Schizosaccharomyces pombe: one gene and its partners. The gene in region 3 interacts genetically with the main gene of each other region. Each region holds a gene or a part of one and is shown on either strand. Other genes may lie near its edges.

What was found.
Region 1: mutations in nth1 (region 3) and rad13 impair growth when combined (synthetic growth defect), as found in Schizosaccharomyces pombe (2 studies listed by BioGRID, with this or other methods).
Region 2: of nth1 (region 3) and apn2, a mutation in one rescues a mutant of the other (synthetic rescue), as found in Schizosaccharomyces pombe (3 studies listed by BioGRID).
Region 4: of nth1 (region 3) and mag1, a mutation in one rescues a mutant of the other (synthetic rescue), as found in Schizosaccharomyces pombe (2 studies listed by BioGRID).

Annotation. Positions count from the first base shown.
Region 1 is NC_003423.3:2,670,761-2,679,993, reverse strand, and holds rad13 (DNA repair nuclease Rad13), read left to right. Parts: upstream 1-3,424; 5' UTR 3,425-3,636; coding exon 3,637-6,975; 3' UTR 6,976-7,004; downstream 7,005-9,233. Other genes in the region: methionine aminopeptidase Fma1, read right to left, coding at 1-776, 837-882, 932-952, 1,005-1,121; SPOM_SPBC3E7.09 (Sad1-UNC-like protein), read right to left, coding at 1,398-3,377; SPOM_SPBC3E7.07C (uncharacterized protein), read left to right, coding at 7,250-7,297, 7,343-7,354, 7,416-7,443, 7,487-7,541, 7,597-7,820, 7,959-8,035. UniProt on the Schizosaccharomyces pombe protein: Single-stranded DNA endonuclease involved in excision repair of DNA damaged with UV light, bulky adducts, or cross-linking agents. Essential for the incision step of excision-repair.
Region 2 is NC_003423.3:1,284,181-1,292,576, forward strand, and holds apn2 (AP-endonuclease Apn2), read left to right. Parts: upstream 1-3,208; 5' UTR 3,209-3,225; coding exon 3,226-4,018; exon of another isoform or gene 4,019-4,055; coding exon 4,056-4,834; 3' UTR 4,835-4,970; coding exon of another isoform or gene 4,971-5,780; 3' UTR 5,781-5,914; downstream 5,915-8,396. Other genes in the region: pig-A family phosphatidylinositol N-acetylglucosaminyltransferase subunit Gpi3, read left to right, coding at 1-145; mRNA-decapping complex subunit Lsm1, read right to left, coding at 309-482, 560-675, 724-792, 841-904; DNA polymerase epsilon subunit Dpb4, read left to right, coding at 1,963-2,135, 2,268-2,386, 2,425-2,765; SUMO-targeted ubiquitin-protein ligase E3 Slx8, read right to left, coding at 4,971-5,780; U3 snoRNA associated protein Dip2, read left to right, coding at 6,384-8,396. UniProt on the Schizosaccharomyces pombe protein: DNA repair enzyme that cleaves apurinic/apyrimidinic (AP) sites and removes 3'-blocking groups present at single strand breaks of damaged DNA. Provides the majority of the AP-endonuclease (APE) activity. Repairs phleomycin D1-induced DNA damage.
Region 3 is NC_003424.3:1,104,817-1,111,989, forward strand, and holds nth1 (DNA endonuclease III), read right to left. Parts: upstream 3,061-7,173; 5' UTR 3,025-3,060; coding exon 1,957-3,024; 3' UTR 1,714-1,956; downstream 1-1,713. Other genes in the region: Lsd1/2 complex PHD finger domain-containing protein Phf2, read left to right, coding at 48-1,387, 1,437-1,713; transporter Hfl1, read left to right, coding at 3,751-3,887, 3,943-4,030, 4,239-5,294; AP-3 adaptor complex subunit Aps3, read right to left, coding at 5,301-5,477, 5,940-5,993, 6,036-6,302. UniProt on the Schizosaccharomyces pombe protein: Bifunctional DNA N-glycosylase with associated apurinic/apyrimidinic (AP) lyase function that catalyzes the first step in base excision repair (BER), the primary repair pathway for the repair of oxidative DNA damage.
Region 4 is NC_003424.3:2,951,559-2,958,481, forward strand, and holds mag1 (DNA-3-methyladenine glycosylase Mag1), read right to left. Parts: upstream 3,307-6,923; 5' UTR 3,267-3,306; coding exon 2,580-3,266; 3' UTR 2,170-2,579; downstream 1-2,169. Other genes in the region: SPOM_SPAPB24D3.02C (amino-acid permease), read right to left, coding at 1-163; SPOM_SPAPB24D3.03 (agmatinase), read left to right, coding at 858-2,084; SPOM_SPAPB24D3.06C (uncharacterized protein), read right to left, coding at 4,506-5,456; SPOM_SPAPB24D3.07C (uncharacterized protein), read right to left, coding at 6,466-6,923. UniProt on the Schizosaccharomyces pombe protein: Hydrolysis of the deoxyribose N-glycosidic bond to excise 3-methyladenine or 7-methyladenine from the damaged DNA polymer formed by alkylation lesions. Can release ethylated and propylated bases from DNA in addition to 3-methyladenine.

The DNA of each region.
Region 1 (9,233 bases), on a different chromosome or scaffold from region 3:
TGTAAAAGTCATTCCTGGGCGAGCAATTCCAGGTGCCTTGTTGTGGGAATAATGAGGAATACTAGGAGAACAGTGAAATAACTGGTTGATTCCATGTCCACAATATGTGCGGACGACAGAAATCTGCTTCTCAGTAATGCTATTTGTATGCTTTTCAATAATATTTCCGAATTCCTGAAACAATACTCCCGGTTTTACCGCAGCAATTGCTTTATCCAAAGCAATTCTCGTATTTTCTACAAGGCAAACGAGGTCAGGATTTGCTTTTGCTTTATCTCCAACATAGTAAGTCTCATTTAGGTCACCATGAAAACCGTTATGGTAAAGGGAAACATCAATGTTTACAATATCACCATCCTCAAGTGGCCTTTGATCTGGAATTCCGTGACAGATGATTTCGTTCACAGAAGTACAAACACTTTTTGGGAACGCGTAATAGTTAAGGGTGCTTGGAAAACAATCACGTTCAATGCATGCATTATGAACAATACTATCAAGTTCATCGGTAGTTGTTCCAGGACGGACGGCAGCAGCGGCAGCATCAAGTACCTCTCTACCAAGTCTACATACTTTACGCATACCTTCCTGCTCCTTGGGTGTCAATCTCTTCAGTTTGAAGCTTCGACCTTCAATTTGCTCGCTACGAGAGACTCCTGTCTTCGCATAGTCAGGTCTTTTTATATGTGGAGGAACCTTGCGTATAGGCGAAAGCGGATAAACTGGTTTCAATGAACCTGCGAAATGAAATTTTGGGAAAGGATTGTAAGTTCCATCCTCTGATGAACAAATTAGAAAAACGCTTGAAAATAAAAGCTATATACTTTTGTTGTACGTACCTCTCTTTTCTACATTCGGTGGACGATGAAGATGTTTGTGAATATTCTGGATTACCTAGTGTTAATTTACGTTACACGAAATTTTCTTGTATTACCCAGCTGTTCCTGAAGCATTCCTTTTTTTTTTTGAATTAGTAAATACGTAAACTAACAGAAAAACTAAATTACCTGTCCACAAAAGTAAGATTTAACTCCGTCATTTAGACATTTGGGACATTGCAGTCTGTCAGCTTCATTATTACAATCTATACCGCAACAAATATGTTTTGCAATTTCAGTAGCCATATAAATACTTTGTCTTAAGGGTATCACTCGCCTTAGTTTCTAGACTCGAGAATTTCTAGTCACACTAGTGCTTCGTAGCCGTGAAGTACATTAATGTCGTTGGAACCTATATAACCCAATGCCACTCTTTAAAGTTATGATTTTTGCAAAACTAAAAAAATAACTTTAATATATGCTTTTCAGTTTTTAAATAAATAATTCATTTTTCTAATTTTAATATGAATTTAAATCATTAACTTATGAAAAAATATGGAAGTTTCACAATACATTCTATGATTAGCATACTGAATGGCTCCTAGAATGTATAATTTTATCTTGTTCTCTTTCGTGTATACTGCGTATGCTGGTATTTGGATCTCGCTTTTTTCTTTGCAGTAGTTCAGGTCCAACGGTATAAACCGCTGAGGAAGCGCTAACGCGAAAATCGTTGGCCTTCGAAATATCTTGCTCGTCACGTGAAAAAGGTGGTCTTGAAGCCTCAATAGGGTTGTTTGAAGATGAACGGGTTGTTGGCAGATTTTCTGGAAGCCTCGATACGGCCATATACACTGTTAAAACGATTAGAACCGTGAGTTGAAGCATTAAAAGTCGCTTTTGAAAAGATGATTCTTGATATAGTGAAGTAATTTGACTCTGAAAGTATTCATTTTCTGCAGAAAGAAGCTCAAGTTTAGCTTGGAGAGCAAACAAAGACGGCTTAACGACACTTTTCGACAATTTCGAAATTTCTAATTGAAGGGTCGAGTTCAATTCATGTAATAGCTGCGTAAAATTCATGTTTTTGGCATTGTGCTTACCATAATTTGTTAATATTTTTTCTACAATTTCATCAAATGCCTTCTTCCGTTCTTCTAAGGTAGAAAGACGCTTATTTATGTTTTTGTAAATGCTTTCCTGATTAGAAGGAAAGGTAGATATTTGAGCGGTACTGTAAGAAGATGAAGAAGATGGAGAAATATCGTTAAAAGAGCGAGTTGATGTTGCAGGATATGATTCACTTTTTCCTGTTTCATTTCCTATAACAACAGTGCTCAAAGACTTAGATATCACAGTAGAAGAAAGTAAGGTGTCTGTACTATTCAACTCGACTGATGGATTCTTTCTCACTGGTTTGCTTTGAACATCGGTATCTTCTTCGTCCACAAAAATAGGACTTTCTTGAGGCTTCCGGATTTCATCTGCTTTAATAGCGCTTCCGTCGTTCACTTTTTGTTCTAAGAAGTCTTCATTTGCTTCTTCAAATTCTTCTATCATAGTTTTTCCATAAACCCTAAGTAGGCTTACAGGACAATAAAATTCTGACCCATAATGAGTTAAAAACTCTATTTTAAGATACTTCGCCCAAATAAGAGGGTTCTCAATATGAAAAGATTGAAGAGTCCTTAGGTTTAAGGCCGTAAATGTACCCAATTCCATCCAAGAAGACTCGTATTTTGGATATTTACCGCTTACACTGACCTTGAAATCACGAAATATACTTGAAAAAAATTCGAAGTTGGCAATTTGAACTGTATCGACATAAATATCCTCACAAAGTTCAATTACCACGAACTTGTTTTCAGCGGAACATTTGTTCAGCATATATTTGTCTTTGTTTTCGGTCAGAATCGAAGAAGATCCGACTGCTTCAGGATTTGTTTTAATGACAGCAGCAGCGCAGTCAGTTGAAGCAAAGTTGAATCTTTTTTCTTCTGAGAATGCAACAGTCTTTTCATCTATATTTGAATCAATTGTAGCTGCTGCTGAAGTAGAGGAACCATCCTCAGAAATTGGTAGAGTAACCGAAGAACTAGTAATAATATTAGTATCAATAACTTCCGTTACAGAATAGTTTTGCTCTAGCTTCTTTGAGGATGAAATTGTAGACGTCTCGTTCACCAATGGTGGGCTAATTGAATCTATAAATTCGCTAGTACTTGTTCCATTGGAATATTCATATTTTGACAAAAAATTAGAAGAAATGGTATCACTTCCATTCAAACTCGTTTTTGTGTGAAACGAAGGTTCCTGGTACTTATTTGTGGGAGTGAAATCCCATGTTGTAGGGTTGCTAGCTTCTTTTTCTTCAGATTTGGTAGCAATCACAGAAAGGTACGCATCACATACCAAATTTTCGTTATGCGTATCTGGTGACTTCAAACACAATGCCGGATATTTACACCAATGACTCGTTTGTGGAGAGCAGCAGCATAACCGAAATATAATAAAATAAATTAAAAAGGCATTTCCAAATGCAGACAATCTTCTTTTGACCATATGATTTAGGCAGCCCTATCAGTTTAATGTGGTAATTGGCTCAAGTCAAGTGCCACACACTAAAGTGTTAGCATCAATCATCGCACATGCCCTTGTTTTATCGCTTTGTTGGTAAAACATGTCTTTTATAACGATTTTAATTAAAAAAGAAGAAAAAGGGTAAAGAAAAAGGCTTGCTTTAATCACATTTCTTCGTATAATAATCAAAAATAAAGTCGTCTACAACGAAACTTCTTGACATCGCATATAATATTTTGCAATGGGGGTTTCAGGTCTTTGGGATATTTTAGAACCGGTAAAAAGGCCTGTCAAGCTAGAAACACTTGTTAACAAACGGTTGGCAATTGACGCTTCAATTTGGATTTATCAATTCTTAAAGGCCGTACGTGACAAAGAAGGAAACCAGCTGAAAAGCAGTCATGTTGTAGGATTTTTTAGAAGGATATGCAAACTATTATTTTTTGGGATTAAACCTGTATTTGTTTTTGATGGAGGAGCGCCGTCATTGAAACGCCAAACTATCCAAAAAAGACAAGCCAGAAGACTCGACAGGGAGGAAAATGCCACGGTCACGGCCAATAAACTTCTGGCTTTGCAAATGAGGCATCAGGCAATGCTTTTAGAGGAAAATAATAAAAAAGCTACTGCATTGGCAAATGCCTCGGTTCAAAATGAGAGACAAATGCCTTCATCTATGACATTGGATAATTCAGAAATTAAGCCAGTACTTAATCAAAGAAAAAATTATTTGAAGCCTGATCCATACCAACTACCTGAAATGGACGTTTCGTTTGATAAGTTAGGGTCGAGTTACGACCCTCGAATTATGTCCCAGGATGAGCTTACACAATATGTCTCTAGTTTTACTAAAATTGAAGATATAAATTTATTTGATTTTTCAAATATTGATTTTGACTCTGAATTATTTCAATCATTACCCGATACGGATAAATATAGTATTTTAAGTGCAGCAAGATTACGCTCTCGTTTACGAATGGGTTTAAGCTCTGAACAACTTTCCGAGATGTTTCCTAATAGAATGGATTTCTCTCGTTTTCAAATTGAGAGACTGAAGGAACGTAACGATTTAACTCAGAGATTAATGGACTTTACTGGAATGAATGAGTTTGGACCCTCTAGAGTAGTAAGTGAAAAAAACCGAGAATATATTTTAGTAAAAAACGAAGGTGCTGAAGGTGGATGGGCTCTCGGTGTTATCTCAGGATCTACAAACAATGAACCTATTATTATTGATGATGAGGCTACAAAACTTAGCAGCAATCTTATAGACGAAGACGAGGATGAGGCATTCTACGATGTGCCTTTACCTAGCCGATCTCATAGCATGAACCCTAGAGAATTGGTAGCCGCTAAATTAAAGGAAATAAAAGAAAATTCATTTTCGGAAAATCAGCAATCAGATGAAGCAGATTATAATGTTACTGATGATTTAATACTTCAATTAGCAACCCAGCAATCTCTAGAGGAAAACAAAAAATCAAAAGAGCTGTTTAGTCTTTCGGCTTCTGAGTTTGATAAGTTGAATAGCGAGAAAAAGACGTTTGAAATTTTGTCGACCGATATTCCTGCAGAGGATTCAATGAATTCACTTCTTAACGACGAGGAAAATTTGAAACTTGAACATGTTGGAGATGTTTCCAATGATTCATTAGCATTCGCGGAAAAAAAGCATCCTGAAAATGGGACTTCAATTTTTATGGATGCCCTTCCATCTGCGAGTAGAGAGAAAAAAACCAATGATTTAATTGATCCTTTACCTTTTCAGCCTATGGATTGGGGAAAGTCTATTTTTTTCGAGAAATTAAAGAAACCAACTGAAACATTTATGGATTCTAAAACTGATATACCAAGTGAGGCACCGGATAATTCTAAACTTGTGGAAGATACAAATTTACATACTATTAATGCAACAGTTAATATTGAATCCGATTTAGACGCTGCTAAACCTGGAATTGAAAATCCAATTATTTCACCTCTTCTTCCGGTAAAAGATGATGAAAAAGATTTAGACTTACGTGAACTCAATCCTTTGGAACCCTTTGAGAATATGAAAGAACAAGCTGATGATGGCACAGTTACCAACCCATTAAATGTTTCTAGTGATAAGGCCATGTCAGTGTATTTATTGAGCTCCGAAAATGCTAAGGATACTGGGGATATCAAATCCGAATCAATTGACGCTGTTCTTCCTACTTTAGAGACCAGCAGCCCTTCACTTAGCATTCCAACTGACTTTCAAAAAGAAGCCTCTCCAAATAAAGGAGCTGCTGCCTTGAGTTCGAAAGTAGAGCCTGAAGTGGTTGAAAAACTTTTAGATGAGGAAGAAGAGGAAATGATTATCAGGATGGCAGAAGAAGAAAAGGAATATGATCGGTTTGTTTCAGAACTCAATCAACGACATGAAACTGAAGAGTGGAATCAAGAGGCCTTTGAAAAAAGGTTGAAAGAGCTCAAAAATCAAAAAAGGTCTGAAAAACGTGATGCGGATGAGGTCACTCAAGTAATGATTAAAGAATGTCAAGAACTTCTGCGTTTATTTGGCTTACCATATATCGTTGCTCCTCAAGAAGCAGAAGCCCAGTGTTCTAAACTTTTGGAGCTAAAGCTGGTTGATGGGATTGTTACTGATGACTCAGACGTGTTTCTTTTTGGTGGAACTCGGGTATATCGAAATATGTTTAATCAGAACAAATTTGTCGAACTCTATTTAATGGATGATATGAAAAGAGAATTTAATGTGAATCAAATGGATTTAATTAAGTTGGCACATCTTTTGGGAAGTGATTATACTATGGGACTTTCTAGGGTAGGTCCAGTTCTTGCACTGGAGATTTTACATGAATTTCCTGGTGACACTGGACTTTTTGAATTTAAAAAATGGTTTCAACGTTTATCAACTGGACACGCATCAAAAAATGATGTTAATACGCCAGTAAAAAAGAGAATTAACAAGTTGGTTGGAAAAATTATTTTACCATCAGAATTTCCTAATCCGTTAGTTGATGAAGCTTATCTTCATCCGGCCGTGGATGATAGCAAGCAATCGTTTCAATGGGGCATACCCGACCTTGACGAGTTACGCCAGTTTTTGATGGCTACTGTGGGTTGGTCAAAACAACGAACTAATGAAGTTTTACTTCCGGTTATACAAGACATGCATAAAAAGCAATTCGTGGGTACACAGTCCAATTTGACTCAGTTTTTTGAAGGTGGTAATACTAATGTATATGCGCCGAGAGTTGCATACCATTTTAAGAGTAAACGGCTTGAAAATGCTCTTTCATCTTTTAAAAATCAGATTAGCAATCAAAGCCCAATGAGTGAAGAAATTCAGGCAGACGCAGATGCATTTGGTGAATCTAAAGGATCAGATGAACTACAAAGCCGTATTCTTAGAAGGAAGAAAATGATGGCAAGCAAAAATTCCTCTGATTCAGATTCAGACTCTGAAGATAACTTTTTAGCAAGTTTAACTCCGAAGACGAATTCTTCTTCAATTTCTATTGAGAATCTACCTAGAAAAACCAAGCTTAGTACTAGCTTACTAAAAAAACCCAGCAAAAGAAGAAGAAAATAAGTTTAATAAATTATTTATTTATTTGTTTACTTAACTGGTTGTTCCTATAAAAGAAGTTACTGTAATTTTTTGTTGAGTAAATTTTTTTGAGTTTTCCTGCTGTAACTGTGTTTAGACAAAGTAATTGAGCAACATAGCTTATATTTTGTGATTTATTCGTGTTTTGATTATTTACAATTTTTCTTGCTCTTTGTTACCTTACCTAATGTCACTTTCTACTACAACCTACTTAGCAGCAGTAAAGTAAAAACGGAGAAACAGAATATTTTTCGAAATGTTAAGTACAAAAATTGATGCGGAAAATGCGGAAAATGCCGCCGAGGTAAGCCTTGGTTATTATTTATTTAATAATACTTACAGATTTTAGATTGAAATGCAGGTACGTGGTTGTAGAAAGTATTTAGTTTTGGTAAAGCATGTACTGATTTAAAAAATTTTAGTTTGCAGTAAAAGCTGTTGAACAGGCTCGTAAGTTGAGCAAAATATGATGGAATAAAAAATAACAATTTAGAAATATACTGGAGTCTTTTGGAAATGCGCAAGGGAAGCGAGTTAAAGCTGACAAAGTAAGTATATATTTACATCTTTAATTTAAAGTTCAAATTGCTTACTATTGAATAGATACGATGATGAGATTTTTGAAGATTTAATAAACACCTTCCCCGAGTTTAAAGACCCTAAAACAGCTTCTTTTGTTAATGAGGATGAAATGAAGTCCGCCAAAGGAAAAGCTGCCTGGCGTCCATTTTTAATGCGCTATGAAAAGAAGGTTGACGATTACAATTTTGGTACTCTTCTTCGTATTAAGAATACTGATGAGTATGAGCAAGAAACGACTATTTTTGGTATGTACTAGGAATCAAATTTAATGGTCTAAGAAACATGGCCATTTTTTAAGTGCCATTTTTTTAAAAAAAATCGTTTATGCGATCCATGAATTTCCATATTTTAATGTTCTATTTTATTTAGCTAACAAGTCTTAGTCCCTCGTATGCAATTTTTGGCCTACGAAATCGCCCGTAATAGATACGGTTTGAACGATTGGATTAAAAAAGATTAGACCTTGTTAATAAATATTACAACTCATCCAAATTTTTCTGAAGGAAGTATTTGTACAAATGATTGCTCCGTAGTTAGATAACATATACATTGGTTTTTCCTAATGTACAATTACAATTCAGAATAAAATCAAAACAAGTGGATGAAGGTCATATTTCCTTCTCTTATAAACGTATATCAAACAAAATTCATAGTGCTTGAGTAAGAAAATGTTATTTTTTCTAAAGTTACTAATTGAGAATTGTGACAAGTAAACAACAAAACCAAAGAGACCAGATTTCCTATGCTAATCAGAGTGATGTTTACAATTAAATCCGTCCTGATTATTCGACGTTTTTTTTTTTTCTAACAAAGTGACTCACAACTTGTTTAGATTTCTAGATATTGTGTAAGGAAATAATTTTTGCTAAAAGTAAACACTTTAAAGAAATGATACTAATAATATGAAGGACTGCAAACTTTATATTTGAGTATAATAATTCTTATAATTATATGAGAACAAAGTGCATAGATTTACTTCAGTGCAAACACAGATATAAAATTGTGTCGAGCTTTATGTTTCTAACTTCTAATAGCGAATCTTTAACCCATTGAGCATTTCAATTATGTAGCACTATTTCATACGTAAGGGCTGCATACTTATTAACTATTTTTTTTCAGAAATCTCAACTTGAATTTTACTAATTCATGTATTTACAGTTAGCAAGATGCTTCTTTTTTTTCGTAATCATTTGAGATGTAAGACGCCGGTTAAGAATTTGTGGGATAAACAAAAGAAATTACGAGGACCACTTACTTAGTCTATAAGTTGATTTTGCCGACCATAGTAAAGGTAACTGCATAAAATTATTGGTATTTAATTCTACCTTACAGAATCTCGAGAATTACTATATACTTAAAAAGAATTTCATGTACTTTTTCTGCAAAATAATTACAAAATATTGATGAATTTATTACTGGTCAATAAACCACGAATCAGTATACCCACTAAAAGCAAAATTTCGGTTCGCTTGTAAAAATAACAAAAAAAAAATATTATTATTAATAATAACAATGAGTTTCGAAAGTTCAGAATTCATTTGAACGAAACAATTGCGTATTTAAATTTCACAATTAAGCAAAATACTTGAAGTTATCAACAAAGGGTCCATTCTGCGTTTCAGGTGCATTTCATATTCTTTGACTTTTTATGAAGCAAA
Region 2 (8,396 bases), on a different chromosome or scaffold from region 3:
GCCAGCATCTGATATTGACCCAGCGGTTGACCGCGTATCCTCTACTTTCAAAATTTCTAAGCAGAACTTTGACGAATCTCTGGTATTAACGGACCCCAAAAAAAAGACAAAGATAAAAACTGCATGTTTAAAAGATGCACAATGATTACTAAACTTTGAACGAACGGTAATGGGATTATGACGATTCATGTCTTAAAAATTACATTACATCCATTTAAAAGGGGAATAAACAGCGGTCGAGATAGCTTTCTATCGTGACTGTAAACAAACGGTATAGCAATATTGTGATAAATTTGTTCAACCGTTGTCTAATACAAATCATCATGTCCGCCGTCAACACTAAAGCCTACAGAATGAAGGTACTTGCCCTTCTCACGTATATTTTTCTTCTTCTCTTCTTCATGAAGCTTCGCCAAAGGATACAGTTCTTCAGCAGGCATACGTCGCAATTGTTTGACTGCATCATACTCCTTATCCAAATCCTTTTCGAAATATTTAGCCCACGTTCAAAGAAATTTATAAAGATGCTCGAATATTTTATGTTACAAACGAAACTTACCAATTCACCTAAAAGCACGACGTTCTCGCCCCGAACAATATACACACCTCTGTCTATGTCCCCGTACATATCATCCACATAGATCCTCTCAATCGTGTATTGCAACATTAAATTTGCTACACAGTTAGTAAACTCACTTATGCGCCTATTCACGCAAACCATACCAAATTGATCAAAGGACCTTAAAATTCCAATCAGTTTTTTTCCATCTCGTAAAACAACAATCACTTTTCCTAAAAGGTAAAGTTAGATCAAGGAAAACATTGGAAAAAACACCGTACTGTCTACGTAGTCAACAAGTGACCCAGAAGTTGTGAATGGGATAATCTGTGTAGCTTGATTCATTCAGCTATTATTTGGATGTAGCATAAACTAATAATTTAATTTAGATTTAACTTTCTATTTCTTTTATAAACGCCTGATGACTTTATTTGAGTGTTTTCCTTAAAAAACGAGTTCGAGGAGATGGTTAGAAGCAAGTGCTCTGAGGTCGTCAAATCTGGAATCCTAAATTCTCCCTGTTTAACCCTAAAAGTGCTTCTGAAGTTTAAATGTTATTCGTTTGTTATGTTTTTTTGCTAATTGTAAATTAAATTATTTGGTTTTTCCATTTCTAAACTTGCCCATCATTGAATGTTGTAATCTGACTTTCTAGTTATAAAGGGAAGTCGGTCTTCACAAAAATTAAAGAACAAAAACATGTATATTTTTGATCACAGATTGTAAAAAGGGAATCTAATTATACTCAAGCTACCTAACAATTTTTCAGCATCATAAGCGGATTAGTTCATTGAAAGGCTCAACATTTTGCGAAGAACAGAAATAAATAATTTGATGATTTTTATCAATTCCAAAATCGAACTTGTAAAAATGTTGCCAATCCCATTTGTAATATCCCTATTCTGAGCTATTTCGACTGAGAAGAGATTGCCTATTATTCTCTTAGAACGTTCATTGAACGTTTTTGGAGTGTTCTGAAAAAAGATAATAAATTTAGTTGTTTTTATCTATTAATTACAATCAAAAATCGAGCCTTTAATAATGTATTGTATGGTTATCAAAAAGCTTTATTTATTTCTAACAACGCTAAAAAACTTTTTTTTTTACTCATTTAATATAAACAAAACAGTACAACTATTTAGTTTTAAGAAATTTGATAGCATTTCTACAAATGTTTCAACTCTAAGGCTCTCTCGGATTCTGCTCATAACGCACAGATAGTGTTTAGTGAAAATTGACAGAAATAGGCGACTCAGTGAATTTATTATACATTAATTAGCTAAAAAGAAGCAACCGCCTTTCTCTGTGATTATCGTTTGGTGACCATAGGATGATATTTGGATTGGATTTATAAAAGACTTGTATACAGCGTTTGTAAAAGATCTAGCGGCTGGAAAATCAATATGAATCAAGATAAATCGAAAGAAACTTCCGAATTGGATGATCTGGCGCTTCCTCGATCGATCATTATGCGATTAGTCAAAGGTGTCTTACCTGAAAAGAGTCTTGTACAAAAAGAAGCTCTCAAGGCTATGATCAATTCAGCAACTCTTTTTGTTAGTTTTCTAACATCCGCGTATGTAATCTATATAACTATATAACCATATTGAAGGGCTTGTATGATGAAAGAATTTATTATATAATTGCCAATTTTATTTTCTTCTGGAAACACTTTGTATATGAATGAATAAAGACTAACGTTACTTAGTTCTGGGGAAATTGCTACGAATAATAACAGAAAAATTCTTATGCCTCAAGACGTTTTGAATGCGCTCGATGAAATTGAGTATCCAGAATTCTCTAAAACGTTAAAAAAACATCTCGAAGGTATGTTTCTTACTCTGTACTTCTTCTAACTATTAAAGCATATGAGCTTGCCTTGAAAGAAAAACGATTGAAACTCCCTAACGTATCAGATGTTGATAACAGAAAGAAAGCCAAAATAGACGCGCATGACACTACTCCTCTAGATGAAGAAAAAGACGAATTAGAAGAAGAACGAATTGCGGAGGATATAGCACAAAATGAAGTTGAGCAAAATATTGATGATGTGGAGGACCTCGAAGAAGTGAATGATACATTAGACGCAAACGCAGAATCTCCTCAAATAGAAACCATTCATCTTACAGATGCTACGGGAAACCCAATTGAAGATAGCTCTGAATCCGACTCAGAAGAATCTCTTCAACTTAATGATTCTTCGTAATTACTGTTGGTTAAATGTATATGAAGATTGTCAATAGTCCTAACTTACATGGAGAGCTAATCATATTTTTTTACACGAAAAACTAAACCTTCTTTATTTTTTAATGGATTTTTTGGATACCTGTTAATACCCCAATTTACATCCTTGTATCCAAACATAGCTTTTTTAAACAGCAGTTTGAGATAATGTCTTTCTAGCACAACATGTATACTCGTTTAATGACATATATTTAGAAAGAATCATTAGATTGTTTACAGTTGTAACTCAATATTAGTCAATCTAGAATTTTTTTGAAAATCAACATTCAATAGGGAGAAGGTCGAAAAGAAAAGAAAAAGTTCATTCTCGAATTAAACAAATGCATTTTATTTTCCATCAGATTAACTTATGTCAACAATTGTAAATTCAAAAGTCTGTCGCCTTTACCTTCGCACACTTTCTCTACGTAAAAATTATAAGAATGCGAATTCTAAGTTGGAATGTGAACGGTATACAGAATCCATTCAATTATTTTCCATGGAATAAAAAAAATTCCTACAAAGAGATATTTCAAGAGTTACAGGCTGATGTAATATGTGTTCAAGAATTGAAAATGCAGAAAGACAGCTTTCCTCAACAATATGCAGTTGTTGAGGGATTCGACAGTTATTTTACATTTCCTAAGATCAGAAAAGGCTATAGTGGGGTTGGATTTTATGTAAAAAAAGATGTTGCTATTCCAGTGAAAGCAGAAGAGGGAATTACTGGCATCCTGCCAGTACGAGGACAAAAATATTCATATTCAGAAGCACCGGAGCATGAAAAGATAGGATTTTTCCCAAAAGACATTGACAGAAAAACTGCTAATTGGATTGATAGTGAAGGAAGGTGTATATTATTAGATTTTCAGATGTTCATCCTAATCGGTGTTTACTGTCCAGTAAACTCTGGAGAAAATAGACTAGAATATCGACGGGCCTTTTATAAAGCCTTACGAGAAAGAATTGAAAGATTGATAAAGGAAGGAAATCGAAAAATCATTCTCGTTGGGGATGTGAATATTTTGTGTAATCCTATTGACACTGCTGATCAAAAAGACATTATTCGAGAGAGTCTTATTCCAAGCATCATGGAATCAAGACAATGGATACGTGATTTATTACTACCAAGCAGGTTGGGACTACTGTTGGACATTGGCCGTATTCAACATCCTACTCGGAAAGGAATGTTTACATGTTGGAATACAAGACTTAATACAAGGCCCACAAATTATGGTAAGTTCTGAATTGTTATTTTTTTTACAATGGATAGGTACGAGAATTGATTACACTTTGGCAACACCCGATTTATTACCTTGGGTTCAAGATGCAGATATTATGGCTGAGGTCATGGGTTCAGATCATTGCCCCGTATATTTAGATTTAAAAGAAGAATATGAAGGAAAAAAGTTGTCCAACTTTCTAAGTCACTCAAAAGAACCACCTTTACTATCAACGGCGCATCATTCAGCCTATCGGCCATCAAAAAATATTCATTCAATGTTCCAACATTTCAATTCGATGAAAAAGAATAAAAACAACTCACCCACTCAGAGCGAAAACGTATCTGCTTCTGCGTCCAGCGGCTCCTCACCAACTGTTTCTCGTGCAAACTCTGTCATAGACGTCGATGCCTACCCACCGGAAAAGAGAAGACGAAAAGAACAATCGAAGCTTCTTTCATTTTTTGCGAAGCAAAAGGAAGAGAAAGAAGAAACCAATAAAACAGAAGACGTTTCGATTGAGGTCCTTGATAACAATAATGAATCTGACATAGGGTTGACAGTAAAAAAAAAAGTAGAAAACGGGAACGCCTGGAAGCAAATATTCAGTGAACGAGCTCCTCCACTTTGTGAGGGTCACAAGGAACCTTGCAAGTATTTGACAGTGAGGAAGCCGGGAATCAATTACGGGCGGAAGTTTTGGATTTGTGCCAGACCGGTTGGTGAACTGATTAAAAACTCAAATGCAGTTTCTGAGGAAGATACTCAACCGTTCCAATGCAGGTTCTTTATCTGGGACTCAGATTGGAGAGCAAATTCAAAGGACTGAAAATTTGTAATGACTAGCATAACTTGCTCTTAATCAATTCTCAATTTTGATGTGTATAAACCGCAAAAAGCATTGAGCAGTGCATCACACATCTTTCATTAACATTCTTAATATGTATATACGGAATTTTGTACGGTTAAGATTTCTTTTTTTGAGATCCGAGCATCATTTCCAAACATATAACTTTGTTTGGATGTACTTTTCTTCTGCACACCGGACATTTTTGTGTGGCAGCCGTTGTACCTAAAGCACTTAGTATACAAAAATTGCAAAATATATGCCCACAGGGAGTACAAGATAGGTTTTCCGGACTATCCAGACAAATTACACACTTATAATCAGCTAGTCGTTGTGAAGATGGAACAACCTGTTTTTTGCTAGGTTCTTCTTTTTCAATTTCGGCGTTGGTGGTCGATGGGTTCTTTCCCTGTTCAAATTTTTGTTTTCTTGGATCATAGGAAGTCTCATCAGTTAAATCAATCATATCGCTTATAGTAGTAGGTTGCGCGTGAATACTATTAACATTTGTTAAACTGTTTTCAACGGAAGCTGGATGATTGTTGTAGGTGAATCTTTGATTTATGTCATCAGCATCATTCTGAAAATTAATGTCTTCCAAGTCGAATACTTCACTTTCCACATCTATGTTTAAATCAGAGGTTTCAACAGGTAGTGTTTCTTCTTGTGCTAGCTCCGAAGCAACCTCTCTTAGCGACCTTGGTGCACGATTCAGTGGTAAAGACTCATTCTCAGAGGTAGTGCCTGAAGGATAGTCTGTTGCATCTTCTGAAACCGGAAATCCGTTTCCTGGCGAATTCTCTACTGGAGAAGAACGTCTCCTATTTATTGCTGCATTTCCAGCTGCGACTCTAGCGGATTGAGATGGGATATTGTATGGTGCAGATAAGTTTCTAACGTTGGTATCTCTCTTATGTGCGGGTGGCATTTTTTTGCCAATTGGTCCTGAAATTCGAAAATAGTTTATAGATTATTGATTAATGGGCTAATATTAGGATAATTTTGATCGTATCCTAATCGATTGTCAAATGCTTTTCAGGCTTGCTAGAATAATAAAAGAGAATTGTGTTAACGTCAATATACGCAAACAGCAATTATTTTGGCAACTTGCCAACAAGTTTAAAATTAAATTTAGTAGACCTATGATTTTTGAAGTCTACATGGAAAAATTGGCTCACTACCACAATGTTGTAAGATGCTAGTCTAATTAATATTTATGACCTTTTTCATGAGCACATTCAATAGCGCAAGCGGTATTTCAAATAAGAAAAGAGAACAGAAAAGCTGGTAAAACTTAATTGTGTATCAATAATCTTTTCAATGCAGTTCATTAAACTGCGCAACCGACATTATTATGAGTATTCCATAAACTATGCAAAAATGTATTATGGAGTGCATTAAGGAATGCTAAAATAAAAAAACGATAACAATGTATATCGCTATTTCTTTTCCAAATTGTTGAATATTAGAGGAGTGTATATACTTAGCATCAACCAACGCCTTTTTTTTAATCTAGGTCTGGGTAGACGCAATGGTCAAAAGCTATACGCGGTACGAACCAACCGAATTTTTTGGTGTCATTGCGTCTTCGGGATGTAATATTCTCGGTCAACCCTCTTCGTCTGCTAAATCTGTAGGCAGAGCCATTGTTGGCGGTCTTGAGTCTGTTTTGGAATGGGATTTAAAGACTGGGCAATTACTATCAAAATGGAAGGATTCTGATTGTTCGGCAAAAGTTACTTGTATTGCAAACTTTGATGAAATGTACGCTGTGGGCTATGCAGATGGTTCTATACGTCTTTGGAAAGATGGAGAGCTCTTAATAACTCTTAATGGTCATAAAAGTGCTGTTACTACCATGGATTTTGATAAAATGGGCACAAGATTGGCCAGTGGAAGCATGGATACCGACATTATTGTATGGGATATTGTAGCTGAAACCGGCTTGTTTAGACTACGTGGACACAAGGACCAAATTACCAAGCTTTTGTTCATTACACCTCCTTCGAAGAATACAGCTGAAGAAACAGTGGTGGACACAGATATTGATTCCGGCGACATGGACGTTGACAGTAAATCGTCTGATTCGTTTCTTTTGTCTGTTGGCAAAGATTCTTTTATGAAGCTTTGGGATTTGTCTATTCAGCATTGCGTTGAGACTCATGTCGACCACCAAGGCGAAATTTGGGCTATGTGTGTTTCACCAGACGCCAAACGGTGCCTCACTGCTGGTACCGGTTCTGATGTTAAAGTTTGGGAAATCAGTTTTCCAGATGACAATAATTTCACTCCAACTACTAAAGCATTTCAGCAATTAGGTACCTTTACCCGTCAAAGCCGTGACCGTCCCATCACCTTGGCTTACGACGTTTCAAACCGTTATGTTGTATTCCAAGCTCATGACCGTCTTCTGGAGGTTTTTCGCCTTCGATCAAGTGCGGAGCTCGAAAAGATTCTGAATCGACGACGCCGTCGTAAAAAGTCTGAGGACGTTTCGATCACGTTAAAAGACGAATATGAACCTTTTGCTCTAATTCGAACCACTGCTCGTGCTTCGTCTGTAGCTTGGATACCAGGAAATCGTACACCTACGTTGGTAACATCTCTTCAAAATAACTCAATTGAAGTTTACGCTTTGGATGTCAAATCTGAAGGTTCTGCTGCACCATTAACTGAACGGGCTTCGCGTATAAGTGCCATTGAAATTCCTGGTCATCGTGCTGACGTTCGTACCTTGGCTTTGTCCGCTAATCACGATGTGATTTTAAGCGGTGCTAACGGCTCTTTGAAGCTTTGGAACAAGAAAACCACATCTTGTATCCGTACAATCGAATGTGGTTATGTACTTGCTGCTAGCTTTATAAATAACGACAAGTGTATCGTATCCGCTTACAAATCAGGAGAACTTGAAGTCTATGACATTGCTAGCTCTTCTCTTATCGAACGTATCCAAGCTCACGATGGCGCGATTTGGGATTTAGCGGTTGGTCACGATGGCACTTACTTCGCGACTGCCTCTGCCGATCACACAGTCAAACTCTGGTCTCTAAAATCGTCTTTTGATTTCGTACCAGGTACCACTAGAAAAGTCACCACGTTGAAATTAGAGCAAACACGACAAATAGATTTCACAGACGATGTCCTTGCGGTTAAAATTTCACCTGATGGTCGTTTCGTTGCTGCTTCACTATTAGATAATACCGTCAAGGTATACTATTTGGATTCGTTGAAATTCTTTTTAAATCTTTATGGTCATAAGCTTCCAGTTCTCTCTATGGATATTTCTTATGACTCAAAGTTGCTGGTTACTTGCAGTGCCGACAAGAATGTCAAAATATGGGGTCTTGATTTTGGCGATTGCCACAAGTCTATATTTGCACATCAAGATTCTATTATGGAAGTCACATTTCAACCAGATACTTACAACTTTTTTACTTGTTCAAAAGATCGAGAAGTTCGTTATTGGGACGGTAAATCATTTGATCTAATTTTAAAACTTCGCGGTCATCACTCTGAAGTCTGGGCATTAGCTGTTGGTCCAACT
Region 3 (7,173 bases):
TTTTTTCATTTGTTTTTTACATGAGCATATGAATGATTTAAAACCTAATGCCGAATTCATCGTACTATGACGACGATGGCGGTTCTTTTGAAGCGGCATCATATCCTTTTCAATTCGACGGTAGTCGTCGATTTCCCAATGATTTGCATCCAACGATGTTTGAGGGGGAGGAATCTAATCAAAATGGAGGCTCTGTGCTAATAGATCAAGCCTTTCAGGATATACAAAATCCTAACGTGAATTCAAACATGCATTTGGAAAATCAGTTCCAACACTTTCACGAGCCAAACAAGGAGTCAGGTGCTTTCGGTTCGTACAAAAATGATGATGTTGCTAAAGAAATAGAATCTAGTAAAAATCAGGAAACCGATGCAAAAAGCGAACAGGCACCTTTCACTGAAGACGCATCTTCATCTAATTATGCGCATCATAGAAGTGCTGATTCCCAAACAAAATCTGCGTTACCCCCAAATGTTCCTGCAAGTTCATCGCCATTACCTCCTATGTCAATTGCTATGAACATTGCTCGGAAAAGATCATGGCCTGCCAGTTTGGCTATTGAACGTGACAACACCGCTGACGCCCTCTTTTCTACTGAAGATGGTAGGGAAGAGCAATTTAATTTGGAAGGTGTCAAAACAAAATCAGGAAGAAAAGTGCATCGCCCTAATCATTTCGATCCCCTTGTAAAATTACCTACTAGACGACGTGGCCCAGGTCGTCGACCTGTGGTCGCATTAGCTATGAAATGTTCGGTTTGTCAACGACTTCAATCTCCACCAAAAAATCGCATCGTTTTCTGTGATGGTTGTAACACTCCATTCCATCAACTTTGTCATGAACCCTATATTTCTGATGAACTTTTAGATTCCCCCAATGGAGAATGGTTTTGTGATGATTGCATTAGGAGAAAAAAGCAAGCGCCTCTCGTAACTGGAACTACGGCACGAGAACTAAATCTGTCTTCGGAAGAGAAAAAGTCTTATCTTTTAAGTCTTCCGATCTCCCAACTGGTTGACATCCTATTATTCTGTGAGCAATTACATCCCGACATCCCGTTCTATAGTCCTAAAACTTCCACTATTGTCCAAGAGCTCCAAAGCAAAAGGTCTGCCTTTACAGCTACTATGAATGAACCTGTAACGGGAGATCAGTATCTAAGTCTAAATAATGGAACAGAATCACAATCGAAAACAACCAAGCATTCGACGTCCTTACCTTCGACCGAACCAGTTGAAGTGGATAAGCAATACATGGAGAGTGAAAAAATTCCTACCATAGATGAATACTTACAAGAATATAGCAATGAAGATGAAATAGTTTTACAAGTTTTAGAATCTTTCCCTGCTGCTGTTTCTTTTTCTACTATCACTAACACTATTCAAGCGTAAGTTTTCTATATATTTTCCTGACATCGTCAATTACTAATATTCTAGTAAATACTCGAATAGAAAAATTAAAAATTCGAACATAACTCGAAGCTTAAACAGACTGGTCCGTAAAAACCGTGTTTTACGTGATGCGAGGGGTAGCAGCTATGAACTGAACAGAACGTTTGATGCCGATCGACCATCAGTGCGCCCTGACATATCTATAACCGGCCCCATTCCTATCGATTGGATGCTGTATACGCCTCACACAGAGGATTTAACCGAAAACTTTTGTACTTATTATATGTTCGACGAAACTCCAATTGTTCTTAGTAGTATTTAACGAGTATCTTACATTCTGCATTGTTTGTTGAAGGGTATAACAACATTAATGATTTCAATTTATTCCAAGATTTAAAAAAATTATTAAAAAGTAAAGGTAGAGGATATTATAACTATACAGTCAGTAGCAAAAGGTTCTTGAATATGTTTAAAGACGGAGTTGTAAAGAATAAATAATTTTGAGTAATTCATGTAAATAAATAACAGATTTATGTTGTCCAAAATTTACGGTCCTAAAAATAAATTAAACCAGATCTTCAATATCTTGTAAACTTTGTTGGGAGAAATACTGGGATGATTTTTTTGCAACTCGCTTTGACCTGCGCAGTGACCTAGTTTCTTTTGTAGTTGAATGGAATGCGACAGGTGGCTTCTGATCTACATCAATATCAGCGGCTGGTTCTTTTTTCAAAGGTTCATTCATGTGTGATATACTATCAACAGGGTCCAAGTCCTCAAGTTTTATAAGTGATTTATCTTCGATGCTTTGGTAATACAAATCATCTGTAGGAAGGGAGAGTGGAGATAGAGGAGGTGACTCAGAAGCAGGTCTTTTTTTGACTCTTTTAATCGTTTTGACTTTTCTCTTAGTTATTGTGATGCCACTTTTTTCTTTAAAGGCGCTAGGACACAAGCCCTTAGAAGATAAAGTACACATATCACAGCGCCTTCCTCTTGGTAAACAGATTGTTTGCCCAAAACCGACAAGTGTATGGTTCAGCTCAAACCATAATTCCTTAGGCAGCCAGCTTTGCAAAGCAGCTCTAGTCTGTTCTTCAGTTTTCGTATTACACCAATGAAGAAGATTACATATACGATGTACGTGAACATCTACTCCAATTCCAACAGTTTTATTCCATGCAATACTCATACATAGATATCCCATTTTAGGCCCCACACCTGGGAGAGTCATTAGGTCTTCTACGGTGTCCGGAATATCTCCTTGGAACTTTTCTGATAAAATACGTGCCATTTGTTTCAAATAAATGGTTTTTCGGTTATGAAAACCAACTTTCTCGATTAGTTTATTTAGAGAAACTTCATCAATATTTTGGATATCTTCTAAACAAAGTCCTCCAGCTAATTTTTCTTTTAAGTTTCGCATGGTAGGACCCAGTACTATATCTTTTGTTTGGCTAGAAAGCATCAATGCCACCAGTGTTTGAAATCGAAATTTTTTTGGATCATTACGTTCTCCTAATGTATGACAACCCTGAACGTCTACAGGCGCTACGACCTTGGCTTTCATTTTACAAATTTCATCGTAAACCTCCCTCCAGTTCTCAGGAGGAGTTCCGTAGTCTTTACTCATTGCTTAACAAATACAAATTTGTCTGCAGTCTTGGCTAAAGATTTTATTTTCTTCAACAACTCATTTACTGAACTTTAGCGATATTACATCCAAGAAACAACGCAGGTGAGCGCAAAAATATTAAAATTTATAAGTGATTTGTTTTGAATACAATGCGGTAATAGTCTGACTTGGAGTTTCTCAATTTTATAAAAGAAATAATTTTTTAACTAAGCCATATATATGCCAAGGCGAAATTCTCCTACGCATTAAGAAACAAACACTCATTATATTTTACTGCTTCTTTTTCAAAAAGTCAGCTTAAGAATCATCAGAATGCTATGGGAGACATTACTTTAGGTCCTCCATCATACAGAAGGGAGGAAAGTAGAGTTTAAAAAAAAAACAAAAATTAGATTAATTAAAGATCACGAATTGCTAGTATTATGGAAACAAATGATTTTTACAGCAGTACTACAGCTATAGGGCAAATTATCCTGTAAGACAGTATTATTAATTTACTTTTGCTATAAAACAATATCCATACTAAAGAGGTAAATCAATATTAGCTTCGATGAACTCTTCCACATCACAAAGTTTCGGTACTTTATCTATAGCTTATGCGTACAAACACCGTAAAGCCCGTAGTAGGTAGTATCTGTTTGGAATTGGAGAAGGCCCCCTTATAGCTTGTGGTAGCCACCTTGCCTGCATTTTTGTCCCTTCATCACGATCAGCTCTAATTTCATGGACAACGAAATAGTCGCATTATGCGGCTTCTTCGTAGCCATTGCTTTAGTGCTATCATGTATTTCTATCATTACTCATTTGAAAAATTACAAAAAACCAGTCTTACAGCGTTCTGTGGTGCGAATTTTGATGATGTTCGTAAAATTGAAATTCTTTGACTGATATAGAAATGTACTAATGCTTTGCTAGGATTGTAATTTACTCTTCTGTATCGTTTTTATCGGTATACAATGAAAAAATTGGAAGTATTTTCGAACCGTTTCGTGAAATTTACGAGGTAGGTTTTTCTCATTTAGCCGTTGCCATTGAATGAAGTACCTTCCTTGGCAATCAATATATTGCAGATTTGTTTTAAAATGCTTGAAAAGGGGTTGACTGAAAGAGTGGTTTGGCTGTTATGAGTTGTACTATGTTGGTTTACTAGTTTAGTTAGTTAATGAGGCGTAATTGAGGTTTTAATGGAATAATTTCTAACAATAAATTAGGCATTCGCTTTGTATTGCTTTTTCTGTTTATTAATTGATTATCTTGGCGGAGAACGGGCTGCAGTTATTAGTTTGCATGGACATCTGCCTCGTCCTAGGTTATGGCCCTTGAATTATTTGCAAGATGATATTGACCTAAGTGATCCTTACACCTTCCTTTCTATAAAACGTGGGATTTTACAATACACTTGGCTTAAACCATTTCTGGTGATTGCCGTGCTGTTAACAAAAGTCACCGGAGTCTACGACAGAGAAGATCAACCTGTTTATGCTTCTGCAGACCTTTGGATAGGTCTTGTTTATAACATTTCAATTACGCTTTCTTTATATTCACTAACAACTTTTTGGGTTTGCTTGCATGAAGAGCTCGCTCCTTTTCGCCCTTTCCCAAAATTCCTTTCCGTTAAAGCTATTATATTTGCCTCTTACTGGCAGCAAACCGTTCTTTCCATTACAAACTGGCTGGGACTTTTAAATGGAACAGGCTGGATTTACTCCTTACTAAATCAGAACGTTCTCATGTGTTTAGAAATGCCCTTTTTTGCCCTCTCACATTGGTACGCTTTTCGAATCGAGGATTACGATACACCCACATGGCTGTCTTGTGCAAGACTACCGCTCCTTAAAGCCTTTAAAGACGTAATCGGGTTGAAAGACGTCTGGTGCGATAGTTTGCAAACTCTACATGGAGATCGTTATGTATATCAAAATTTTGAGCCTGGGGAGAACTTAATACCTTCAAGAAACGATGGAAGGATTAATAGAACAAGTCATGGTCTTCGGTACAGTCAGGGAGGTCAATCGAAATACTGGATTTCTCGATATGATCAATCTCGAGTGCGTCTCATTAACAATAGTCAAAACTCTCCACAATCAAATAAGTCCTACTTTTCTATCCCAGGGATGTCAACTTCACATTTCGAAAATGGGCTCCAATTTGAAATAGACGATGAAATGGAACCATTATACAATCAAGCGAAACAGATGCGTTATGGTGATTATAATTATCCAGTTCTTCTAGTGAACAATACTCATGCATCTTCTTCATATACATAAAAGTCACTAGAACCTAGTAGCAAAAGAACTTAATGTATTGCTGAATGGCATTGCATTGGACCGTTTGGTTTTTGGCATTTGATTCTGAGCTGCCAAAACAATTTCATTCAGATTTGTCTCTAAGACAAGACCACCAGATACTACCTCAGCAAGAATAGCATGTATTTCTTGGAATTTAAAAACCTATATTGTGTTAGATCTTTCTAATTCGCTTTCAAACAGATGGCTTTCAACTCTTCTAATTATTTCTTCCTTCAATATCCTTTTTTTTTGGCGTATACACTTGTATTTGGATAATTATTACTAACACCTCCTCTTTTTTTTCATTGGAGATTGCGAATCATCGACAATGAGACTCTACTTCCAGTTCTATGCATAATTTCTTTCTTGAAGGCGATGAGAAGTAAAGGAATTAGGAATTAAACTCTTGTAGTTCCTAAGTTCAATAAATGATAAAAATAAATGTTATGCTCTTTTGATAATCGAATATTGGACAAACATTAATGTTTCTTGTAAGGCCAAATTTCCAAACATTCGAAACCAAATAAGAAAAAAACAAATTAAATAAAAAAAAACGGAATCAATGGTTTCAAACATATAGCAGTAGGATAATGGGAAGATAAACGAGTAGTGAAATGTACTTACCAAATCAAGCTCGCAAACATTATTAAAGCATCGATCTAATGCTTCAACAAATACCTTTAATAGTTAGAAATTGGAAAGTAACTAATTTCAACTTACTTGAATGAGATCGAGAATTCCTAGTTCACTTTCACCTTCATCTACTACAAAAACGAAGTAGAGAGTAGCGTACTGGCGATAAATTATTCTATTTTTACCTGCAATTAAATTACTTTCCAAAAAATTACAAGCGGTTGGGGGCCTAGTGGATACAGCTGCATATATATCTCCTATTAACTTTTGTTGAATGGATTCATCAATTGGAGTGTAAAACTTTGTGAGACGAGGTTTCCCTTTATTGTTAAATATAAAAACAGCGTAAATCATGACAATAGAAAGGGAAAGCTGGCAGAACCCAAATATGCAGTGCTTGGTAAACGGCAAGCTGAAGTTTAAGTTGAATATACGTTAATAGTAGTTTGGAAGAACCAGGATCGACAAATTTCTTTCAATGCCTTAGTTAATTTGCTATATTTAAGATTTTCATGGTTTTATATTTATTGAGTATATTATTTATCCACTATTGAACCAAAGATCTGTTACTGAAATTCATAATGTCTAGTAAACAATTTTTGCCATGCCTTCAATGATCTCTATAACGAACTACTTTGTATACAATTTAGGAATAGAAAAATAGGAAAAAACATTTGTCTTCCACCAATTTTTGAATTGATGGTTATGAAATATTCAAATAGCTACATAGTATGTGACATCTCAGTAATAAGTAGACACATACTAATAGTTATATGAGGTGATCCCACTATTCAGTTACTATAGGTATATATTGGTAGCTTTTTTTTGATTAATATACTAATTAAGTGAATATTTGCATAATATGATTAGCAATGAACGCTGCCTTGCTATATGGGAGGCACTTGTTTTAATCAACACTACTATAGATGATAGTAAAGCGAAATTCCAATTACGTACGATTAGACAGTACGTGCCTAAGTGTTTTTCTATGAAAATAGAACTAATCATTTCTTCATACAATGTAAGCTGATTTAAACGGAAGAATTTAAGTATTGCAAGTAAGTTGCTAGAATATTAGACAGCCTAAAACTTGATAAAGCGAATATTGACGAAGCTAAGGCTCGTGGACTACTGTTGCAATCACCACTTTACTGGTAACGAGATTAAATAGAATTTGATATCCCATTTTTTTAAACCGAAAACAAATTGTATTAACATATTCCAT
Region 4 (6,923 bases), 1.8 Mb from region 3:
GACCAAACACGGCGAGTAGGGAAAATTCTCGTTTAAACTCTTGCTTATAACCAAGGTTCAATAGCATCTTATCGTCTTCTGTAACGGGGGCAGACTCACCAACCTCTATGTCCCCAACAGAGATATCGTGAAATTCTTTCTTCATCCCAATTGTTTCATCCATCTTTCCTAGACACAACTAACGATATATAAAACCAAACAATACAAAGTGCAGAACACGAAAGATTCCCCAGTTGAATACACACGAGGCAATAACTCCAATTGAATACCAATATTAAAAACAAAAATTGGTCACAGCAAAAGGTAGTGAGAAGGCAGTAAGCAGATAAATGGGATAGCGATATTGAGTCAAAATAGCAAAAAGCCAAATGATTAAACTCTTGATTAAGTATACGATTTCCTAAAAAATTTCCTGAGACAATTGAACGTAGAAGCCCGTTTTTATATTGCTAATTAAGATGATGATCATCTTTCTAATGTACTGCTTAATCTATTGATTAAGTAAGTTCTATTTAAATTCTGGATAGGATAAGAGATTTCAATAAGCTATTACCCTTTTCATTTATCTTGTCGAGGTTCATCTCTATGAAATAAGAAACAATAAGGCTTTAGATTTCCGCCAAACCTATCGATAGCTTATTTTCCTAACCACCCCCCTATGCTTGCAGTAAAATTTATCGGCCATTTTTCTCCATGGACTCCGTTATACAGTACTTCTGCAATACAGGCGCCGATATTCGCCATAAAATGAGTTATACGATTAGTAGATTTTTGATATGATGGGCTTGTATTAGCCCTAAATTTGAAAGTATATAAAGGCCAGTTTCACTGTCTTAGAACCGTAGCTACAAGAAATTATGAAAAGTGTTGAATGGTTTACATGGGGAGTTTTTCTGCTACTTTCTGGCTTTGGAGAAGCTGGGAGGATGGGCTTGGGCTTTCAGGAGAAGAATCCAGTTTTCGTAAAGGAAAAACAATCACCATTCTATGCTGTACCTAGTAACTATGAGGAAGTAGAATTCTCAAGTATAGTCGAACCTATGTATTCAGGGATTGCGACGTTTGGTCGTTTGGAGAATGTTGAATGTTTGAGTAAAAGGTCAGAGGACTTTGATATTGCCTTTATAGGAATGCCTTTCGATACAGGCACTTCTTACCGCCCTGGTGCTCGATTTGGTCCAAGCAGTTTGCGTGAAGGATCTCGACGCATAAATACTAAATACGGTGCAGTGAATGTACCTCTTGAAATCAATCCTTTCAAATCATGGGCAAAGCTTGTGGATTGTGGAGATATTCCAGTCACCACGTATGATATTCTTAAAGCTATGGATCAGTTAGAAAGTGCATATTTCCAGCTAATAGCTCGAAAGCCCTCCAGTTTTACTGACCATGATGGATTTGCAAAAAATGATACTGTGCTTCCTCGAGTCCTTTCACTCGGTGGTGACCATACCATTGTCCTTCCCATCTTACGAGCTTTGCATCGTGTTTACGGACAACCTATTTCAGTTATTCATTTCGATAGCCACTTAGACACGTGGGCTCCTGGATTGATTGGCGATGGCGATGAAGCAGATGGAATAAACCATGGTTCTTATTTCTACTTTGCTAGTCAAGAAGGTATTATGAGCAAAGATGCCAACATTCATGCTGGCATTCGTACTCCTATCTCTAGTTTCTCTGACTACGATGATGATGTTGATTGTGGTTTCAAAATCATTGAGGCTCGTGAAATTGATGATTTGGGGATTGATGGTATCGTCAAAAAGATTCGTGACAGAGTTGGTGATAATTTGGTATATTTATCCATTGATATTGATGTGCTTGATCCTGCATTTGCACCCGCTACGGGTACTCCTGAAACTGGCGGTTGGTCATCTAGAGAAATGAGAGCAATTTTACGTGGTTTGCAAGGTCTGAAATTCGTAGGCGCTGACCTTGTCGAAGTAGCTCCCGCTTACGATGTTGCAGAAATAACATCCTTGGCTGGTGCGCAATTGTTATTTGACATTGTATCTATGATGGTGAAATATCCTTTGGTAAAAGAGGCTGATTTATCTCGTTACATGCCAATACATAAATAATTGAAATAACTGGTTTATTTAATATTCAATATTTATATCGACATCATAGATACAGATACAGAAATGAGCATGTTCAAAAAAAATCATTATTCATTATATTATTAACATATCATACGCAAGTATATCGTTAGAGACAGCTGAGCGTCATCTATCTTGTATCACATAAAGTAAAAGACAAATGTAGCAGAAACGGGTTTTCTTAACCACCCAAGAGTGTTTTGTAAATATTTGCAAATGAACCCATTAAAACATCTCATCTCCCTTTTGTTATTTTTGCCATCATTCACCAAAAAATCACTTCTTTTATATAAGCGTAATGTGACGAAAATGCTTCGTCTGAGTGGACGTAGACATTCTATTCAGAAATGATTGAAAAGATACTATAAATTGGTAAACCAAAAATAAAAAGAAGCGTACATAAAATGTAAAAGACCAACCAGGAATAAACTTATCGAATTCAACTTTTTACTTTTAAATATATAATACATCTGTCCTTCAGTGTTTCTTCGGCCTAACAGGCTTTGTATAATCGGCAAGTTTTGACGTTTTCCAGAGATACCATGCTGCTGCAGTACGAAAAGGTGCACATATTTCACTATGCTTAAGAACATACATCTTGGTTGGAATTTTTGGTAATCGGTGTAGATATCGGTATCCATTACGAATACTCAAATCGTCAGCTGGCATAACATCATCACGATTCAACGAAAAGATGAGTAACATTTCTACTGTCCATCTTCCGATTCCTTTAATCTGAGTAAGTCGTTCTATCAATTCTTCATTTGAGAGCCTTTCAGCTTCTTCTTTAGTAGGAATCAAACCGCTGATTGTTGCCTCAGCAATGCTTTTTAATGAATCAATTTTACGAGCTGAAAATCCACAGGCACGCATTATTTCAAAATCCATATCACGAATTTCCTCTGGTGTTGGAAATTGGCCATTGTTAGAAATACTTTTAAAGCGATTGAAAATTGCGTTAGCAGCTTTACTATGCAATTGTTGAGATGCTACCGCACGAATTAATTCTTCATAAGGCTCTTTTTTCTCCATACTTCGATTGGGTCGATAATTACCAACGAGCTTCACGAGCCGTTTCCAATTCTCATCCAATCCAGAAAGATGGATTTCTGCTTTTGTGAGTGAAGTGACTATCTCTTCTTTCTCTTCAATGTCCAAAGTCATAATAGCAAAGATTCAATTGATCAAAAATTTATCACTCATTATGTGCTTTTGACTAAACGGTAAGGGTTTTCATTCCTTAGGAATTGCACTGCAATTCGTTATTTATGTAAGCAAGTCCTAAGCTAAAAAAAAGGAATCTTGAAGCAAATTCAACATTCTTAGATGTAATTTGAAACTTCAATTAAATTTTCATCTGGATCGCGAAAATAAATAGAGAGGATAACTCCTTCAGCTCCAGCCCTTGTAATAGGACCTTCTTCTATGAGAACATTTTGCTTTTTTAAGTGAGCAATGACTTGCTCTAAGGGTGTTTTAGCTATTAGGCAAATATCATTTGACCCAGGAGTCAGTATGTGTGATTTTGGGTCAATCTCATTACCCTTTTGATGCAAGTTGATTTTTTATGACCGAAACCGAGTGCCTTGCGATTGTTTCCAAATGCGATAACCGACATTCCTAATGTGCGCTCATAGAACTCACAGGTGGCTTCTACGTCTTGGACAGTGAAAACAATATGGTGGAAACGATCAATTTATATAATATCTTTTTCCATTAGTTAGTATCAAAGATCTTTTATAGATGTAAAATGTTGTAAAGGAGAGTCAGAGGAAACTAACCACTTCCGTTAAACAAGTAACAACTCTTCGACCTTAGAGTATATGACAGATTAAAGAAATATTGGGCGTTCAATAAGGCATAAAATGGATAAAACGATGGAATAGCTATAAAGAAAGCATAGTGTTTTAAGAATTATTCATCCACCTTACTAAGCTTACTTTCTCTAATTAGCATTGACGTTGAACATAAAGAAGCTTTGCAGTTGTCTTCATAATACAATTGAAGTAACTATACGCCTTAATTTACAATGACAGAAGTATGGAGATGAATATTGTTATATAATCTTAACACGTATAAAATGGATAAATGCGCTATGAAGGGAATGGGATAAACATTAAGTCTTAATTTGTAAAACAGTAGATTAGTAACTGGAATTGTTCTCAATATACCTTTTATAGCATTTCAAAAGTAACTTCAAAGATAAAAAATATCACAAAAGTTATCAAACTCCAACTTTGAGGAAGCTTTTGATAGCTTAAGGGTATGCTTTTGAATTTAAAACATTACTTTTGTTAAATCTCCATTGCGAGATTTTGTCGAATATTTCATCCGGATCACAATTATCTAAACTGTTCTACGTGACTTTTAGCGCTAAAGTCATATTCTATGTATTACGAATCTTTATTGATCAATGAAGCTTCTTAAAGCCGTTATAAGTTGATTTATCAACCATTTCAAAGCTTCTGGTGAAGATTTTGGCCCGACATTATGTGTAGCTCCCGGTATGATGCCGCTTAAGGAACTATTAGAAGTTGTAGGACGAATTGATTCGCGAAATCGGTTCAGTAATTGTGCTTTATCAGTTGATGGCGAGACGAACTCGTCCCTTTCCGACATAAGCAGTATCAACTGACTATGTGCTGTGGAGCCGGAGATTTCTTTGAGATTACCAAAAGTTTTAGCGAAATCATCGGCGCTCAGGTCAGAGGAGAAAAAGTCATCATTTCCGCGGACATCTGTCAAGTCAATGCATCGATTTGCAGATGTCGGAACTTCACCAAAAAAATTCTCTACCTTGCTTCTAGGTAAAACATCATTTCCTAGTCCTTTGTCAAGATATTCTGCTTTAACCCAGTCAACCAATTCCTTTGTTTTTTCTTTCCCGTTAAATTGATACGCGGCTTCTCTATCCGATACTGGAGCTTGTGCTATTCCGGCGATTAAGTAGTTTGGAAGAATGGACTGTGTAAGATAGTATAGTACATTCTGCGATCCCGTGGAATGTCCCATCAAAACGATTTTGCGAGTAGAAAAGTCCGCGCCTCCAATGTGCAAAAAATAGTCCACTGCCTTGTGTAAATCCTCGTCATCTCGTTTCAAACTTCCCGTTCCCCATCCTATATACGAGGACTGAGTTTGAACCTGTACAATACTCCAACCAATTTCATCTAATGGATTGACCAGTTCTTGAACATATGGTACTGTCAAAAGACCATCGCCAAGTCCCCCGACAAATAACAATAATGATCGAGTTACGTTGGATGTAAGTGTAACGTTACTTTTTCCAACTAGCTCGAAAGCAACAAGCCTTTCTGTGTACTCATGGAGAATACCAGGATGCGAGGCTGACATCGTGCAATAAATAAAAGAATCAAATTTTTAGATGTTGAAAGTTGAATAATTTTCGCCTAACCTTACAAAGTAGATATTCATACGATGCTCAAATACGAGATATGAGCAAGGATTATATCTTATCCATTATCAGCAAAACAACAACTAAGCTCACTATTTTGATCGCGTGCTTTATAATATAATTACAATCCGGTTTACAATCAAGTTTAAGATATGATTATAGAAATCTCATATAGAAGGATTGAATTAGTAAATTTAGGTATTGAAGCTTGGAGTTGATTGTACAAAAGTTAATCAATTCAAGAGTTTAAGGCGTTCGAAACTATTTGCTTAGTATTTTCCAAAAATTATTGTTTATAGATCATTCAGCTACTATAAAGTACGAATTTTGCAATTCCTTCTTTTGCTTTTGCTTTATGTAGCTTTCCATAAACCACTATGGATTTCAAATAATGATGGTCGCAGTTGGAACGAATTCACAAACCCAGCTTGGTAAAATGATTAATGAGAAAGAGATATATCGCTCTAAATGAAAGTTGGATAACATTATTACTAGCAGAAAAGTGGATATGTGCGATAATACAAGTTTAAAGATGCATACAATGGCAATTAACGATTTGAGTGGTGTCAATTTTGATTTGTATGATGTATCCAATCGAAAAAGATTGAGTAAGTTATATCTTGTACTGAACATCATAAAATTGCAATTAGACGAAAATACAGTAAACGTTTATCTACTCACTACAATTACTACTACTGAGAGAATACATTACAATAAACCTTTTCACAACAGTGACCACATAACTAAACAAAAGTGATTTTTATTTTCACATAGAATAAATTATGTAAGACGATAAACGACTACAATTAACCAGGAGTTTCAAGACCGTGTTTGAGATAACTTATCTAAAGGGATTAGCTTTTCGCAGCAAATCGCATTAACAGGAGAGTTTCATACGTAAAGACCCGTCTTTTTCGTCAATTAATAGGGATCAAAAAACGAGAGAATTTAAGCAAAGTATTGAAGGAACTTGACACCGATGTCTCCAACAACTTGGGTCTGAGTGGGCAAAGTACCGTTGGGGAAAGAGTTCAAGGTAGTGTTCAAAGCACTTGCAAAGGTGAAGGCAGGCTCAACGAGAGGGCTGTAACCAGAAGTGAAAGTAGCGACACATTGTCCATAAATATAGAAGGGACCATAGTTGGGGAAAGCGGAAAGGGGAGCATACTTCCAGCTCTCGATGGTGCTAGCCAACTTGTAGCAGTCGCTCTTGGTTTGAGTGTCAATGAAAAGGGTGGCATTAGCAGCACCGGTGGTGTTGCTGCTGATCTCGTTGAGGCTATGAGCAATATAGGTTCCCCATCCGAGTTCATCAACAGTCCAGTTCTTTCCGAACAAGCTAACAATGCTAGTCAAGTCGTACTCGTAGCTGTATTTGGCCCAGAGAGCCAATGTACCAACCAAAG